2 linked regions of the Alligator mississippiensis genome follow. The main gene of each other region encodes a partner of the protein of the gene in region 2 in a complex. Links are inferred from orthologs where the notes say so. Each region holds a gene or a part of one and is shown on either strand. Other genes may lie near its edges. The genes, in order: RPL13A and GAPDH.

Evidence for each region.
Region 1: GAPDH (region 2) and RPL13A share a complex: the UniProt entries of both Homo sapiens proteins name them as parts of the GAIT complex. The link is inferred for Alligator mississippiensis from reciprocal best matches to the Homo sapiens genes GAPDH and RPL13A.

The regions. Positions count from the first base shown.
Region 1 is NC_081828.1:39,550,517-39,557,842, forward strand, and holds the start of RPL13A (large ribosomal subunit protein uL13), read right to left. Parts: upstream 3,322-7,326; 5' UTR 3,238-3,321; coding exon 3,223-3,237; intron 2,847-3,222; coding exon 2,774-2,846; intron 2,410-2,773; exon of another isoform or gene 2,328-2,409; intron 1,804-2,327; coding exon 1,738-1,803; intron 1,209-1,737; coding exon 1,107-1,208; intron 493-1,106; coding exon 407-492; intron 356-406; exon of another isoform or gene 279-355; intron 195-278; coding exon 135-194; intron 1-134. UniProt on the Homo sapiens protein: Associated with ribosomes but is not required for canonical ribosome function and has extra-ribosomal functions.
Region 2 is NC_081824.1:243,386,665-243,393,855, forward strand, and holds the start of GAPDH (glyceraldehyde-3-phosphate dehydrogenase), read left to right. Parts: upstream 1-3,907; 5' UTR 3,908-3,973; intron 3,974-4,207; 5' UTR 4,208-4,227; coding exon 4,228-4,250; intron 4,251-4,892; coding exon 4,893-4,992; intron 4,993-5,356; coding exon 5,357-5,463; intron 5,464-5,571; coding exon 5,572-5,662; intron 5,663-5,842; coding exon 5,843-5,958; intron 5,959-6,102; coding exon 6,103-6,184; intron 6,185-6,645; coding exon 6,646-6,801; intron 6,802-6,959; coding exon 6,960-7,034; intron 7,035-7,191. UniProt on the Homo sapiens protein: Has both glyceraldehyde-3-phosphate dehydrogenase and nitrosylase activities, thereby playing a role in glycolysis and nuclear functions, respectively.

The sequences.
Region 1 (7,326 bases), on a different chromosome or scaffold from region 2:
GGTCTGTGGAATTCTTCTCCCAGACACCTGCAGGACTAAGAGCAGGGAAACTCCCTGCTTCATGACAACACCCTGGCACAATGTTCCAGCCAAAGAAAGGAAGAGCTTTGGGGGTGGCAGTGGGACATACATACCTTGCGGGTTGGTTTGAGGCGAACAATCTTCAGAGCTGCAGGCACCACCATGCGCTTCCTCTGCGTGGGGTGGGGGGAGAAGAGGAAGGAGAGCATCACATCAAGGAAGGGGAAGCAGGGATGGGAAGCAGGAGGTATAGGTGGCGGCATCTCAGTGTTTGAAGGATTTTCTTCTCACGAGCCATCAAACAATGTAGGTAAATTAGAGCATCACAGACGCGGGGTGGGAATGATTCTGTCCCTCCCACCCACCCGAGGGCACCATGCCTCACCTTGTCATAAGGGGGCGGGATGCCATCAAACACCTTCAGCCTCTCCAGTGCGGCCTGCCCTCGCTTGGTTTTGTGGGGCAGCATCCCTGCATGGAGAGGAGGCCTGGTTAGCAGAAGGGCAGGATGGGGTACAGAAGGCCTGTGCTGGGGCTGTCCTCTGCTCCATTCTTTCCACCAGGGGCAGTAAGGGGCATGGCTGGGGCAGTTCTCACCCTCTTCTTCACCTCCCCCTCAACAGAGGGGGGTGGGAGGGGAAGGATTCATAGGCATGCCCCTCCTTCCCAAGCCAGGAAGGGGAAGCCAGGGGGAGCACAGCCAGGGCATGTTGTACCATGGCTGTTCTCTGCCCCTCCCTGAGGGAGGCATGAGAGGGGCAGTTATGCTTCCCAGGCCACCCAGGGACCTTGCAGTGACCTCTCTAGGACTGCAGGGGTTAGAGCATTTACACTTGCTACCCCAAAGTTAGTAATCACACCCCCAGCATCTCCTCTAACCCTCCCCCCCTCCATCTTCTGACCCACCAGACTCCACAGCCCTCAGAGCTGGAATAGAACCCAGGTCCCAGACACTGAGCTCCCAGCCCCCCTGCTCCAAATCCAGCCAAACCTACTCCTCTCCCAGAGCTGGGGAAGCTCACTGAACAAAGAACCACCCCAACTGGTCCTTTAAAGGCAGATGCATCCACCCATAGGGATGTTACCTCGGACAGTCCTCCAGAAGATGCGGCTGGGGGCACGGAAATGGTACGGGCCACGGGAAGGATTAGTGTTCATCCTCTTGCGAAGGAAGGCCAGGTACTTGACTGGAATGAAAGCAGTGCCCAGGGGAGGGGTTAAGGATTAATCTATACCTCTACAGGGAGGAAGGACACCTGGGTTCCATTCTTAGCTTTGCTACAAATCTGCAGGACATAGGCATAGCCCTGGCTCATCATGCCTCAGTTTCCCCTTCACCACTCTAAATCTATACAGGTTCAGGAGCAGTGGGCAGGCACTAGATTCCACAGACCAGAAAAAGGAAGCAGCCAGCCAAGTAGAGAACACCTAATGCTAGTTCAGGGCTATATACAGGGTCCCTGTGTCCCCCCTCATCAGGGGCCACCAGCTTCCTGCACACAGGCCTCAGTTCCAAGGAGAAGTCTCTCAGCCCAACGGTTGCAAGAGGGTGAAGAATCAGCACCATGAAATGCTGTGTCCCGGCTGTGGCAGGCGGGGAAATGCTAGGCTGGAAAAGGACCTATGAGTCCTGGCTCCAAGGTCCCCTGCTTCCCACTAGAGCCAGGTCAGAATCCAGTCATTTCAGCTCCCACCCCCACTTGCAGAGGTACTTACGTTTGTTCCGGTAAAAATTTCCAGAGATGTTGATGCCCTCACATCTCACTACCACCACCTTGCGTCCTAAGAGAAGGCAAAGGGAGATAGATGGTAACAGGGTCTCTGAGCAGCGTCAGACCATACACCGGGGGGGGGGTAAGGTAGGTACATGTCAAGTAAAATTCCTAGCCCAATCAAGCGACTACAGAAAGGCACAAGGTCCAAAACTCTGAAGGCCCAGAAGGATTGAGTCAGACCTGCCTGGTGCTCCTCCAGGGGCTAACAGTTTGGCTAGGGGTGCAATCAGTGGGCCATAACTGGGGCGGTTTGCAAAAAGCAATGGACTGGGCAGACAGCAGAGCCTCGAACCATGAAGCCTCAAACCTCACCAACAGCACAGACCTCAGCATACGACTACTCTGATGACCTAACCTACAGCAATGGAACCCAGGAGTCCTGGCCTGCAACCCCCAGCCACTTCACAATGACCCACCAGACACCACCCAGCTAGGACAGAACCCAGGTGTCAGCTCCCAGCCCCAGCTTGTTCTAACCCACCCAACCCTGCTCCCCTCCCAGAGAGAACCCAAGTGCCTAGGCTGCCAGGAGCTGTCTCAGATGGTAGTGCATGGAAGAGGTGTTCTCATGGCCGTGAGACTCAAACACCGAGTTAGCATCATCACAGACTTCCCTGCTGGGCACAGACAGGGGCTCCCCCTGGCCCTACAAGGGGGGGAGAGTTTCTCCCCCACCCCCAAAATGAGACTTTAAAAAGTCTTTCAACTTTTCTCTGCATCTAACCTGGACAAAACAAACTATTCCAAACAAGAAACTTTACTACACCTTCAGGTCTCCTGCCAAATATGAATCTTCATTTCTACCTAGGAGAAGTTTTACAATCTCTGCCCTCTCCTATGTCCGACGAAAGGCAAGTGTGCACAAAAGCTTGCAAATAAGTAACGTGATTTCTTTGCAAGTCACTGGTTGGTCTAACAAAAGACATCATCTCTTCCATGCTTTTTGATGCCTTCTTCCCCCACCCCCAAACACTTACCCAGCAGGACCTGCTTAGCGACGATGGCTGCAAGGCGCCCCAAGAGGTGGCCACGGCCATCGATGACCAGAACCTGGGGGGGAGGGGGAAAGAGGTGGACGTCATTGGGGGCTAGGGGAAGAACTTGGCAGAGAAATGGAGACCAGCAGCCCCCCATTCCCACAGCTGGAGATGGAGCCCAGCTTGGTGCAGGCCTCAGGGGGCCCCAAGCCCTGCCCCTGCGGACCCCAGGGGAGCCCCCTCCTACACAAGACCTGCCTGGGACCAGATCCCCAGGCAGTGCCCCACGCGGCAACCCTTAAGCCTCCCCCGCACGGCCCGACCACATGGGCCCACCCAGGACCCCGCAGAGCCACACTGGACCGTTCCCCCAGGACCCGCCCCCACTGCCGGCTCCCCACGCGTGACCCCGCGGCCGGAGTGGAGGACGATCACGGTCCTGCACGAACCTTGAGCTCCGCCATCCTCGCCGGCCGCACAGGAAAGAGGCTCCACCCCGCGCCCGCTACGGGGTCTCCCCTTCCGGGCGGGGAAGTGCACAGGGGCGGAAGTGACCTCACAGCCGGACGGAAGTATCGAGGCCTGAGGAGCCGCACTTCGTAGCCCGGAGATTACATGGGGCCAGGGCGGAAGTGAGTGGAAGCGGGAGCCGCCATTATGGGCAAAAGAAAAGAGGGGTTGGGACCGTTAGGGGTGAAGTCGGGCGGAAGTGCAGCCTTGTCCGGCGAGGGCAGCGCCGAATGTCGTCTTAAACCCGGGCGGAAGTCGCTGCCTAGGGGGCACCATTAGAGCACGCGCCCCGGAACTACCGGTATATAAAGCGAGATTGGGGGGGGTGGAAGTAAACCTACGCCCACCTCATGTTTATTCAGATACGTGAATCACGTGCCTCTACGCACAGAGACTGCAGCCAGGATGGGGTGCGGGAGTGGGGCCCCAAAGTGACAGGGGGGCGTTCTCCATAGGGAACCCACTCCCCTCCTCCCAGCAGCAGGAGGCCTCATCACCCCTCTCCATTGCCCCCCTGACATCACAGCCAACCCCCACAAGCCCCAAGGACCCCCCATCATCATAGCCTCCTCCTAAGCCCCGCTTGCAGACCCCCAGCCTTCAGCCCACCCTGACATCATACCCAGAAAGCTCCCCTGTGATGTAACAGGCCCACCTTTTGCCCCAGCCATGATGTCACCACCTCCTAGCCTTCCAAACCGCAGCCCCATCTCCACTGCGATGTCATATCCAGCCCCTCTGACATCACAGTAATTTCTTCTGGGCCCAACCTCTGCCCTACCCTGACTGTCACAGCCCCACATCACAACCCCCCCAGGAACCTCCACCCCTGTGACCCAGAGGCCACAGCCAGACCAACCCCCCAAGAAACTCCCCAAGTCCCCTGTGACATCACAGCCCCACCCCCACCTTGATGCCCCAATGGGACAGAGACCCCAGCCCCACCCACACTGTGGCCCACTGCACAGGGAAGCATCACCCCAGACACCCACCCCTGCCATCTGTCACAGATACACACACAGGGGGTCTCCACACGCATCTTTATTGGGGTTCCTGGCGGGGCTGGGGGGGGTCAGACCCGCTCTTCAGTGTATGTCACCCCCAGCTGCTGCCACAACTAATTCATGATGGAGGCAGCCAGCTCGCTCTCGGCCAGTGGCAGGATGGGGCTCTTCAGGCCTGTCAGAGACAGTGGGATGGGTGTCAGTGTGGAGGGCATCAGAGCTGTGAGCTTCCCCCCAGCAACGCCTAAACCTGGGATCTACCAGCCAGTGCTGCGAGCTTTTCCAAACAGTGCCCTGGCCCATCACCTTTCAGCAGACACTAAGTTGAGGGGGCTGAGAGCAGGGTGGCAGTGGGCACTCCTCCAGTTTCCGATTCACTGCCAGCTCCATGGGGCACCACAGGTAATCCGGGACCTATTGTGGGAGAGACACAGCACCCCAGGGCTCAGCACAGGGGCACAGCTTGGGATCCAGGATGCCCAGTTTCCATCCCCATCTCTGGCAGGGGAGTGGGGCCTGCTGGGAGCCAGTATGCCTGGGTCTAGGCTGTCCCATTGACTTTCTCCTTCCTTTCTTACCTTAATTTCCCCTCCTGGCCTGATACCTGGAGGATGCCCTTGGTGCAGCCAACCTCTGCCTGGTTAAGCAGCTTCACCACAGTGGAGCATTTGAGCACAGCCTGGCACTTCCCTGAGTAGTTCAGGATGATGGAAGTGGTTTCATCCACACCTAGAAGGGGAGGCAGCTCCGATGGGACCCTCTATCCCCCCAGCCCTGCCAGTGTCCCTTACTTCTGACCTGCAGCCCCCAGCTCATCCCAAACCCTATGGGTGCTCCTTACTTCCACCCCCACAGCCTCATTACCAGTGGGGCACAGGAAACCTGAGGCAGTGATGGACTTGGGCTTCTCCCCGCGGAAGACCATGCAGGCAAAATGGATGACATAGCAGCCAATGTCCAGCACTGTGCTGCCACCCAACTCTTTCTCCACAATGCGTGGGACCCCTGTGATGGGAGCCTCAAACTCTTCCCTTAACAGCTTCTCTTCCCTGATCCCATCCAAAGACAAGAGCGACAGGATCTGCTGGGAGGCTGGGAAGAAGCAGGTCCAGAGCACCTAGGGTGGGGGGAGGACAGGGACAGCTGAGGGGGCTGCCGTGCCATATTGCAGAGAGGGTTGGGAGGGGGAGCTGCACTGCAGGGGGTTCCTGCATGGGGTTCCATGTCTCACCTCCATAAGTAAGACCCCACTCTTCCAGGCCTCCTGGGCCAGCTCCCATACCTCAGTTGCATTCATGGCCGTAGGCTTCTCCAGCAACACAGGCTTGCCAGCCCACAGAAACAGCTGCCCTGTGGGCAGGTGGATGGGATTCACCACCCCCAGGTACACCACATCTGCAACAGTGCAGTCAGCTGGGACCCAGGTGTCCAGGCTCCACTCACCCCCAACCCCTTGCCCAGAGCTGGGACAGAACCCTGAATCTCAGCCCCCCAACCTTCCCAACCCATCAGCCCCACTTCCCTCCAGGGTTAGGAGAGAACCCAAGTGTCCTGGCTTCTATGTCCCTGCCTGTAGTGTCCCACTAGCCCCCACTTCCCTCCCAGGCTGGGAGAAAATCCAGGCATCTTAGTTCCTGCCCCTGCACCCTCAGCTGTGACCAACCAGGCCCTATTTCCCACCCAGAGCTGGGAGAGAACCTAATTTACCCTCCAAATCCCTGTGGCCTTACAAAGCCCAATCCCCACCCAGTGCCCCAACCACCCCTCTCTGTCATAGGGCCCTTGCTCCCTAGACGGGCTGGATCTGCCTTGCCCCAAAGGATCTCCCTTCTCCCCCGCCATCCCAATGCTCATCCATGTCAGGGTCCTTGGCCAGCTCCTCATAGCTGCCATAGGCAGGATCCTGTGTTTCTGGGCATATTGCTGGGCATGGCAGAGTTCACGGGAGGTGATGGCTGCTACTCGGGGGATAACATGGACCCCAGCAGAGAGAGAGAGAAACCCTCTGCTTTCCAGACAGAGAACCCAGGCGTCCTAGCTCCCAGATCCCCAAACCCCACTCGTCTCCCAGAGCTGAGGTAGAACCCAAGCATCTGGGCTTGCAGCTTCCCCCCACCTCAACCTACCAGACCCTGCTCCCTTCCCCGAGTGCGGATAGAACCCAGGTGTCCTGGGCTCCCAGCCCCCTGCTCTACCCTGCCAGAATCCCACTCCCCTGCTAGAGCGAGGAGAGAACCCAGGCACCCTTGGGCCCCAAGCCTGATCTTCTGTCCCCTGTGAGTCCCCCCTATGGCCCCCTGGGACTGATCTCCCCACAGGAGCCTTGAAAACTGCCCTGCAGCCACCTCCCCGCATTTCTTCTCTGCTCCCCAAATGCGTCCTTCACCCCCAGCCCCTCCTGCCCCCTCCAGATACCTCCTGCCCCCAAACTGTTCCTGCCCCTACAAGGTCCCCTCTGTCCTTAGCATCACCCCCCCTGAACCTCCATTTTTACTGCTAGGTCCCCAAACCCACTGCACCCCAGACTTCTTCCTGCACTCACCCAAAACCCCTGACCCCCCCCCCAGCTCCTGGCACCCCAAGTCTGTGTCAGTGCAGAAGGGAATCTGGGGTGCAGCAGGGGTAAATTCTGGGGAGGCAGCAGGATGTGGGGGCAGGGGGTACTTCTTGGCCTGGGGTACAGCTGATACTGGGACCCACAGGGAAGTGGTAGACAGGCGGGGGGACCCAGCAATATTTCTGGAGTGCAGATTTGGGTACCAGAGGGGTCACTGGGCATCCTGACATGTTTGGGGTTAATTCAGGGGCGCTTAGGGGGTGTAAGGGGTTAATTCCACCCTGGAATTAACCCCAAACATGCCAGCAGCCCCCCAATACCCCAGATCTGCTGGGTGCCTCAGCCTGTCCAGAACCCAGAGACTGCCCTGTGGACCCCCTGATCAGCTGTACCCCAGCCCCAAAAGTACCCCCTGCCCGCCACATCCTGCTGTCCCCCCAGAAATTACCTCTGGCTCCCTTATTACTGCTTCATGTCAGAAT
Region 2 (7,191 bases):
GAGAGAGTCCCACACCAGAGAGTCCTATGAGCTGCTTCAGGGGCCTGCACTGCAAGGGGTCCCTTGTTGCTCCCTCAGAAGCTGTAGTGTTGATCTCCACTTCCACGTGGTGGCTTTGCAGGGTTAATTGCAGCTTTTGTCAGCATATCACACCCCAAAGTTTCTAGTCCTAATCCTAGCTCTACTGAGACAGGAAACTGCAAGAGAACTCAAAGAAAAGCCAGCCAAACAGCAAATGAGCCTGAACTGCAACTAGCGCCAACCACGCTGCTTGGTCAGGACAAAGAACTGCAAAAGCAACAACATGGGTCAGCCCCAAACCATGCCAGGCCTGAACATGCAGCAAACACACAGCAGGGCTCAGCGACACAGCTAGGCTGAGGCACAACAGCTATAAAACAATAAAAGGGGGGACCCAGGCCTGTCCTGCACCTCCTGTCCTGAACATACAACAAAAGAGCACCAGGCCTATTTGGCTGCGGCCTGGACATTTAGTCTCAGCTACACTGCTATGCTGAGACCTAACAGCTATGAAACAACAAAAAGGGGTCAGGCCTACTTTGGAAAGGACCTGAACTACAACTAGTGCCCAACCATACTGCTTGGTTTGGGCATAAACTGCAAGAGGGACAAAAGGAGGCCCAGGCCTATTTCACTGGACCTGGACTGGGCAAAAAGCTGGCCAGGCCTATACCACACTAAAGCCTGGATAAACAACAAGAAGTGCCATAGTCTCACCCTAGCCCAAATCTGCCAGCCAGTCATATGGCTGGGGTTCAGCCACCTCAACTGGGCTGAAATGCAATTGCTGTGGAACAGCAAAAAGGGCTCAGGCTTATAGCTCCAGCTTGGACATCCAGTCTACCATGCTGAGACACTACAATCCCCAACACAGGAGGTCAGTAACTGCCAAAACCCCATTCCTGGTCAGTCTGCTCTAGGGATTAATACACTAATGATGCCATCCCACTCAAGGCCCGTGTGGCCAAAACTGCCATCAAGACATACAGCTGGGGTTCAACCACACATCTAGGTTGAAACCAAAAGGAGTGTAACCACAACTTCTACATGTCAGGCTCTTAGGCCTGGCCAGGAGCTCATCAGCAAAACTGCCAGGCTCCAACTCTGGCTAGTCTGCTGCATGGAATTGATACCCCCACTCCCCCAATGGTATCATCTCACTCAAAACCCAGAAAACAAAAGGGGAAAGGAGAGGGAGAAAACAGGGGTCTCAAGCCCTGAGACAGACTTTCTCTTCCTGTACCTGAGGCTTCTCAGTCACACAGCTTTTACTTGCTTCTCCACTGAAGAGGGGAGAGACATGACAGCGCCCCCCCCCGGCCCAACAGGAGCAGGTTTTCCGACTCCCAATTCAACAGTACAGCTCTCAGCAGCCCCAGGAGAAAAGAGCCCCCAGCCTAGGTAGCCTGAACCTTAAATAACTTTTCTGACATCATTACAGGGTCCCAATCAAGAAACAGCATCATTTAAACACTGGTAATGCAGACCAATGTATTCAAAGGTGGTCAGTGCTCCTGGATGCGCTCAGGAGTCACTGAACTGGTTTTACTAGTTCTTTTAAGGAATCTTAAGACAATGGTCAGGACACAATGACGGGGGAGGGAAGTGGGCCTCTTCCAGTCTCCAAAAAACACACACAACTACCAAAACCACACTTTACCACACACAACCCCAAGTGTGTGTGGGTGTTACATAAGTAAAATGCCAGCAGCCCAGTGCCTGGCCCTCATGTAGCCTTTTACTACATCCATTTTGATACTCTTGCTCCATGAGTCCTACAGAGGGGAAGGGTCAGCATTTCACAGCCAGCAGATGGCAGCAGCATCCCAGCTAGGCAGGCCTGCTGTTCTCTCTGCGCAGTTCACCTGTGGAGTCCGGTGGAGTGGCTTCTCTCTGTTTCTCACATATCAAGCACGACCTTTCCTCACTCCTGCACCAATGCCAGGAGAGCAGCTAAATCCAGATCTATTCTGTACTGGGGAAAGACTTCCCAGTTCTGTACCATTCAGTTTCTGTCACTCCCTGTCTCACTCTCTGCTTCCCACAGACACTACACCATTGTGCTAGGCCCAGTGGCTGTCCCTGGCCTGGTCTAACACCCTTATGTAACAGCCACTCCAACATCATTCCCTTGATTCACAGTTGCCAAATCCCACGGCTGACTCTGCCCGACTCTGTCATCCTTCCTCCCCAAACTTTCACAGTCACAGACGAGTGAAAGAGGTCTGTGGGGAGCTGGCTAACAGATCACTGACCCTATGTGTGCTATTACGAGGTGCTGGGGAACACATCTTCTACTTCCCTGTGCTCCATGTTTAGCCCCTCACTCCTGCCACCCCAGAGGAAGCTGCTTTCATGTTGTCAAGGCATGAGACAAGGGAGTAGCATATCTCAACCTACATGTACTCCAAGCCAGAGAAGCAGGAATGTTGACTGTGGAGTATGTCCCTGCGAGCTCATCTTGGCTTGCCCCAACTGGAGCTTTGGCTACGGAAAAGTGGTTGAAAGGTTGAGTGGGACAACACTAGGGCCAGAGAGGTTTGCAGTTGTCATGTTGGCTGTTCTCACCTGCCCTGTGCCCCCTGCACAGAGTCCTCAGCAGCATTCATGTTTGCTCAGTAAACAGTAGGCCTTGCAAATGTGCTAGTAGCCTGGAGCCACCTTTTGTCACTGTTCTGCTCCCCCTAGCAGGCTGGGCCTTGGGGCTGGCCCCTTTCCTGAGGGAGGAAGAGGTGCCAGGATTGTCACCCCCTCCCCACTGACCCCTCCACAGGGTTGCAGCATAAGCCATCCATCCCCATGGCCTTTAAGTAAAGGTCACAACCTCCATTGGAGCTAAACTTAGCTGTCTACTTCTTTGGCAGCCCTGGGAATAGTAGCTTTGCAAGGGGAGTTGGGTTACGCCTGAGTGAGGTGACCTGTCTGCAGACCCCCTTGGTATCTACTCCCCATCCCCCCCACGCCACGCCTGCCCTGCTGTCTCTCATGCCTGCTGCCAGCCTGCTCCAGAGGTTCCTAAACAGGGCCAGGCAGGGGGGGGGGGGGGAAGCCTGCTGCCCCTCACTACATCTTCTCCTGAAAGATTGCTTCATCTAAGGCAGGTATGGCTATATAGGATAACTTGGCAACATTGCCAGGATCATATCACAAGAGTATTTAATAGTGTTAAGTATAATCTAAATATCCCTTAAGTATCTAAGTATCATCTAAGTATCCCTTAGATTATGCTTGCATGTCTTCAAGTCTTCTTTCACAAAACACATAGCACACTCGCTCCTTAGTGCCTCAGGGTTCACAGCAGTCTTATGCTGGGTTTAGCCCATGGATGGTTTGGATAGGGGTGACCCTGGCTCAGGCAGTGCTGGACTCCATGATTCCTGGAGGTCCCTTCCAGCCCCGCTTCTCTGACTCCATCCCTTCCTGGTGCTCTGGGCTCCAGGTGCCCTTCCTGCGCCAGCGTTGCCCCCCAGGGCCTGGGGAGCTGGAGCCCGCATGGCAGCGCCGGGGCTAAGCCGTGGGAAGGCCGAGCGGCGCGGGGACGGGGCACTTCGGCCAGGCCACTGGGCGCTATCGCGGCCCTGGGCCGGCGGGAGGATTTCCGCCGTCACGTCCCGCAGGGGGGGGGGGGGCGCACGGGGCCCGAGGGGGCGCCGGGGCTGCGTCCCCCGCCCCCGGCACGGCCCCTGCCCGAGGGCGCGTGGGATAGGCACACACCTACCCGCCTAGGCGAGCAACCCCAACCCCAGTGCGCCCCACTCCCCCGTCCAGTGCCCGCCCGGATCTGGAGGCAACGCCAGGCCAGGCGAGCTGAGGCGCACGTAGCCCGGGGCCGCCCCCCGACGCTGATTGGGCGCGGGCCGCAAGGGCGGGCCCGCGAGTCGCTATATATTGGGGTGGCGCGGCTCGCTCCCACCTCCTCACTGCACGTCGAAGCCGAGCTGGGTCAGGCCAGGTGCGCGGGGCCAGGGCCAGGGCCAGGGCCAGGCGCGGCACGTGGGTGTCCGGGACTGGCCAAGGGGCGCTGCCTGCCTGTGTCCCGGGCGGGGCAGGGCGGGGGCATCGGGCTGTGCCGGACGGGACGGGACGGGACGGGGTGGGGTGCGGGCGGGCTCAGAGAGGCGGCGAGTTCTGGGCTGCGGCCTCCGGAAAGTGTCCGCGCTGGTCTCACCGCCGCTTCCTCCCCTAGGAGCATCTTCCAGAGACAAGATGGTGAAAGTCGGCGTAAACGGGTGAGCGCGGGGCGGGGCTGGGCCGGCCGCCCGGGCTGTGCTTCCCCCCCCCCCAAGGACGTGTCAAGGTCGTCCCGTGCGGCAGCTGCGGCCGCGGCGCCCCCCGCCCTCCCGCCTGTCGGTCCGCGCACGCGGCCCCTTGTGCGCGGCAGCCGCGGCCCGGTGGGGCGGCCGCTGAGTCACTTCCCCCCCACCCCCCTCTGGGCCACGCCGGGCTGAGTCACACGAGCGGGAAGCGCCACCGCCTCGGGGCAGCACTAGGGCTCTGCCCTGGGATCTCCTGCGGCTTCCTGGCCCCCCCCCCCAGGATCGCGTGTCTGCCTGAGCCCTGAGGCCCCGGGAAATGCGACCTTATGGTGCTGTAACTGGAGCTGCTGTCCCAGGCCCAGTAAATTTAGTACCTGACCTTTCTGCAGTGGACCGGGCCGGTTAATCTCCAACTTCTCTTGCCCTTTGGTCTGCTGCAGCTGGGCAACCCCCCCCCTGCTGCCCTGCGGCCTCTCCTTGTGCAGAGGAAAGGGCAGCTGCTTCAGGAGTGGCACCACAAATCTCTCCCTCCCCAGACTGCAGCACTCCTTCACAGTGTCCCCTTCCCACCCCTCGATGTGCCTGGGCCTCAGTTTTTATTTCCCCCCCTTCCAGATTTGGCCGTATCGGCCGCCTGGTCACCAGAGCCGCCTTCAGCAGTGGCAAAGTTGAGGTCGTGGCCATCAACGACCCCTTCATTGACCTCAACTACATGGTGAGTGGGATCCCTCCACCTTGCTCTCCCTCCCCAGCCCACCAGGTTTACTGGCCTTTGGCCAAGCTGCCTCCCTGCATGGCGAGAAGGGAGGGAAAGCAGTGACTCTCCAGTCCCTCCAAAAGCCAAGCACCATGGGCACATGAGGTGTGGCAGAGATTACAGTGAAGGGCTGCTGGCTGGCCTCAGAGCCATATCAAGGGAGCCAGACCCAAGCAAGGTCTTTTCAGGAAGAAGCAGCAAGCTACCCTCAGCCAAAAGGGTTGGCAGAGCAAGGGGTGTTGGAGCCCGGAGTGGCAGGGGATTATTGGAGGGATACAGCCCACGTTTCTGACATTGCTCTTTCCCCTATCCCACCCACCAGGTTTACATGTTCAAGTATGACTCCACACACGGTCGCTTTCATGGCACTGTCAAGGCTGAGAATGGAAAACTTGTGGTTAATGGGCATGCAATCACAATCTTCCAGGAGTGAGTGTCCCTTCCCCTTCCCTTTCCTTTTGCAGCTTGGGGCACAGGGTGATGTGGAGGAGCAGAATTTAATAGCTTTTGGATATTAAACGATCTCTTTCCTCTCAGGCGTGACCCCAGCAACATCAAGTGGGGAGAAGCTGGAGCAGAATATGTTGTAGAGTCCACTGGAGTCTTCACCACCACAGAGAAGGCCAGTGTAAGTGGTGGCTGTACCTAGGGTGGATATGTGAGAGGAAGGGTTTAAGCAGGGCGATAGCTCTGTCTTAAGCAAGAGAATGTGTTTGAATGACTTCAAGGTGTGAGGAAGTGTATGACTTGCATGTGTGTGGTATCCCCTCATACCTGGGTAGATAAGAGTATTCTCCCTCTCTCCTAGGCTCACCTGAAGGGTGGTGCAAAGCGTGTGATCATTTCTGCCCCCTCAGCTGATGCACCCATGTTTGTGATTGGTGTCAACCATGAGAAGTATGACAAGTCTCTGAAAATTGTCAGGTGAGGAATGGGCACCTGTGCAGGACAAGTCTGAGGTGCAAAGTGGACCCCAGTGAGGTAGGGAGTTTTGCTCCCTGCCTGTGCTCTCCACTGGGGGTTGGCCCCACCTGCCCCAGGCTGATGTCTTGCTCTCCTTTCCCATAGCAATGCCTCCTGCACCACCAACTGCCTGGCCCCCCTAGCCAAGGTCATTAATGACAACTTTGGCATTGTGGAAGGTCTCATGGTAAGTGACCTGGAAACATCAGGCCTGGAGGGTAGAAAGGGGAGAGATCTGTTACAGAACTTTCAACCAAGGGGTTGGCCATAAGAGTAAGGGGGCAGTGATGGGGGGTGGTCACTTTTTTTTTTTTTCTCCCCCCACAAGAGGTAGTACAGTTGCCCATCCTGGTGAACTTCAAAAAGTGTCTTGATGCTCATCTTGCTGGGGTCATCTGATTCCAGGTCTTTCCTGCCCAAGTACAGGGGGGCTGGACCCAATGATCTGTAAGATCCTTCCCAGCCCCAAACAACTGAAACTAACAGGCCTGGCTTTGTGGGTGGGGGTTGTTGATCTAGTAGAGTAGGAAGGGTGATCCTTCCTATACCATCTGGACACTGGGGAAGGTAGGGGCCAGCAGGTAGCTCAGGTAGTGAGGTGAAACTCCAGGTGCATATACTGTATTCTAACTCTGTCCCACCTTCTAGACCACAGTCCATGCCATCACAGCCACACAGAAGACTGTGGATGGCCCCTCTGGGAAGATGTGGCGGGATGGCAGAGGCGCTGCCCAAAACATCATTCCAGCATCCACTGGTGCTGCCAAGGCTGTGGGAAAAGTCATTCCTGAGCTCAATGGGCGAGTATCTCCACCCTCATCCCCAAGGGTTACCTGCATGGGGGAAGGAGGGCAGGATAAGCTACAGCTACAGCCTCCCAGCAGGCTGTGTCAAAACCCTAGTTGACCTGGGAATCATGGATGCACACTCATCTGGTGACACCTGACTTGTCTTGCAGGAAGCTCACTGGAATGGCATTCCGTGTCCCAACACCCAATGTCTCTGTAGTAGACCTGACCTGTCGCCTGGAGAAAGCAGTAAGTATTGCAGGTGCAGGATCTGGAGCAGCTTTGCTGCACTTGCTATATATTCTGTCCTGTCTTGATGTGGAGCAGTCCTCCCCTTGCCTTATCCCTACTTGTCCCCTTAGGTTGAGAGTCTCTCTTGGCTGGAATAGCATTTGATAGTCCTAGC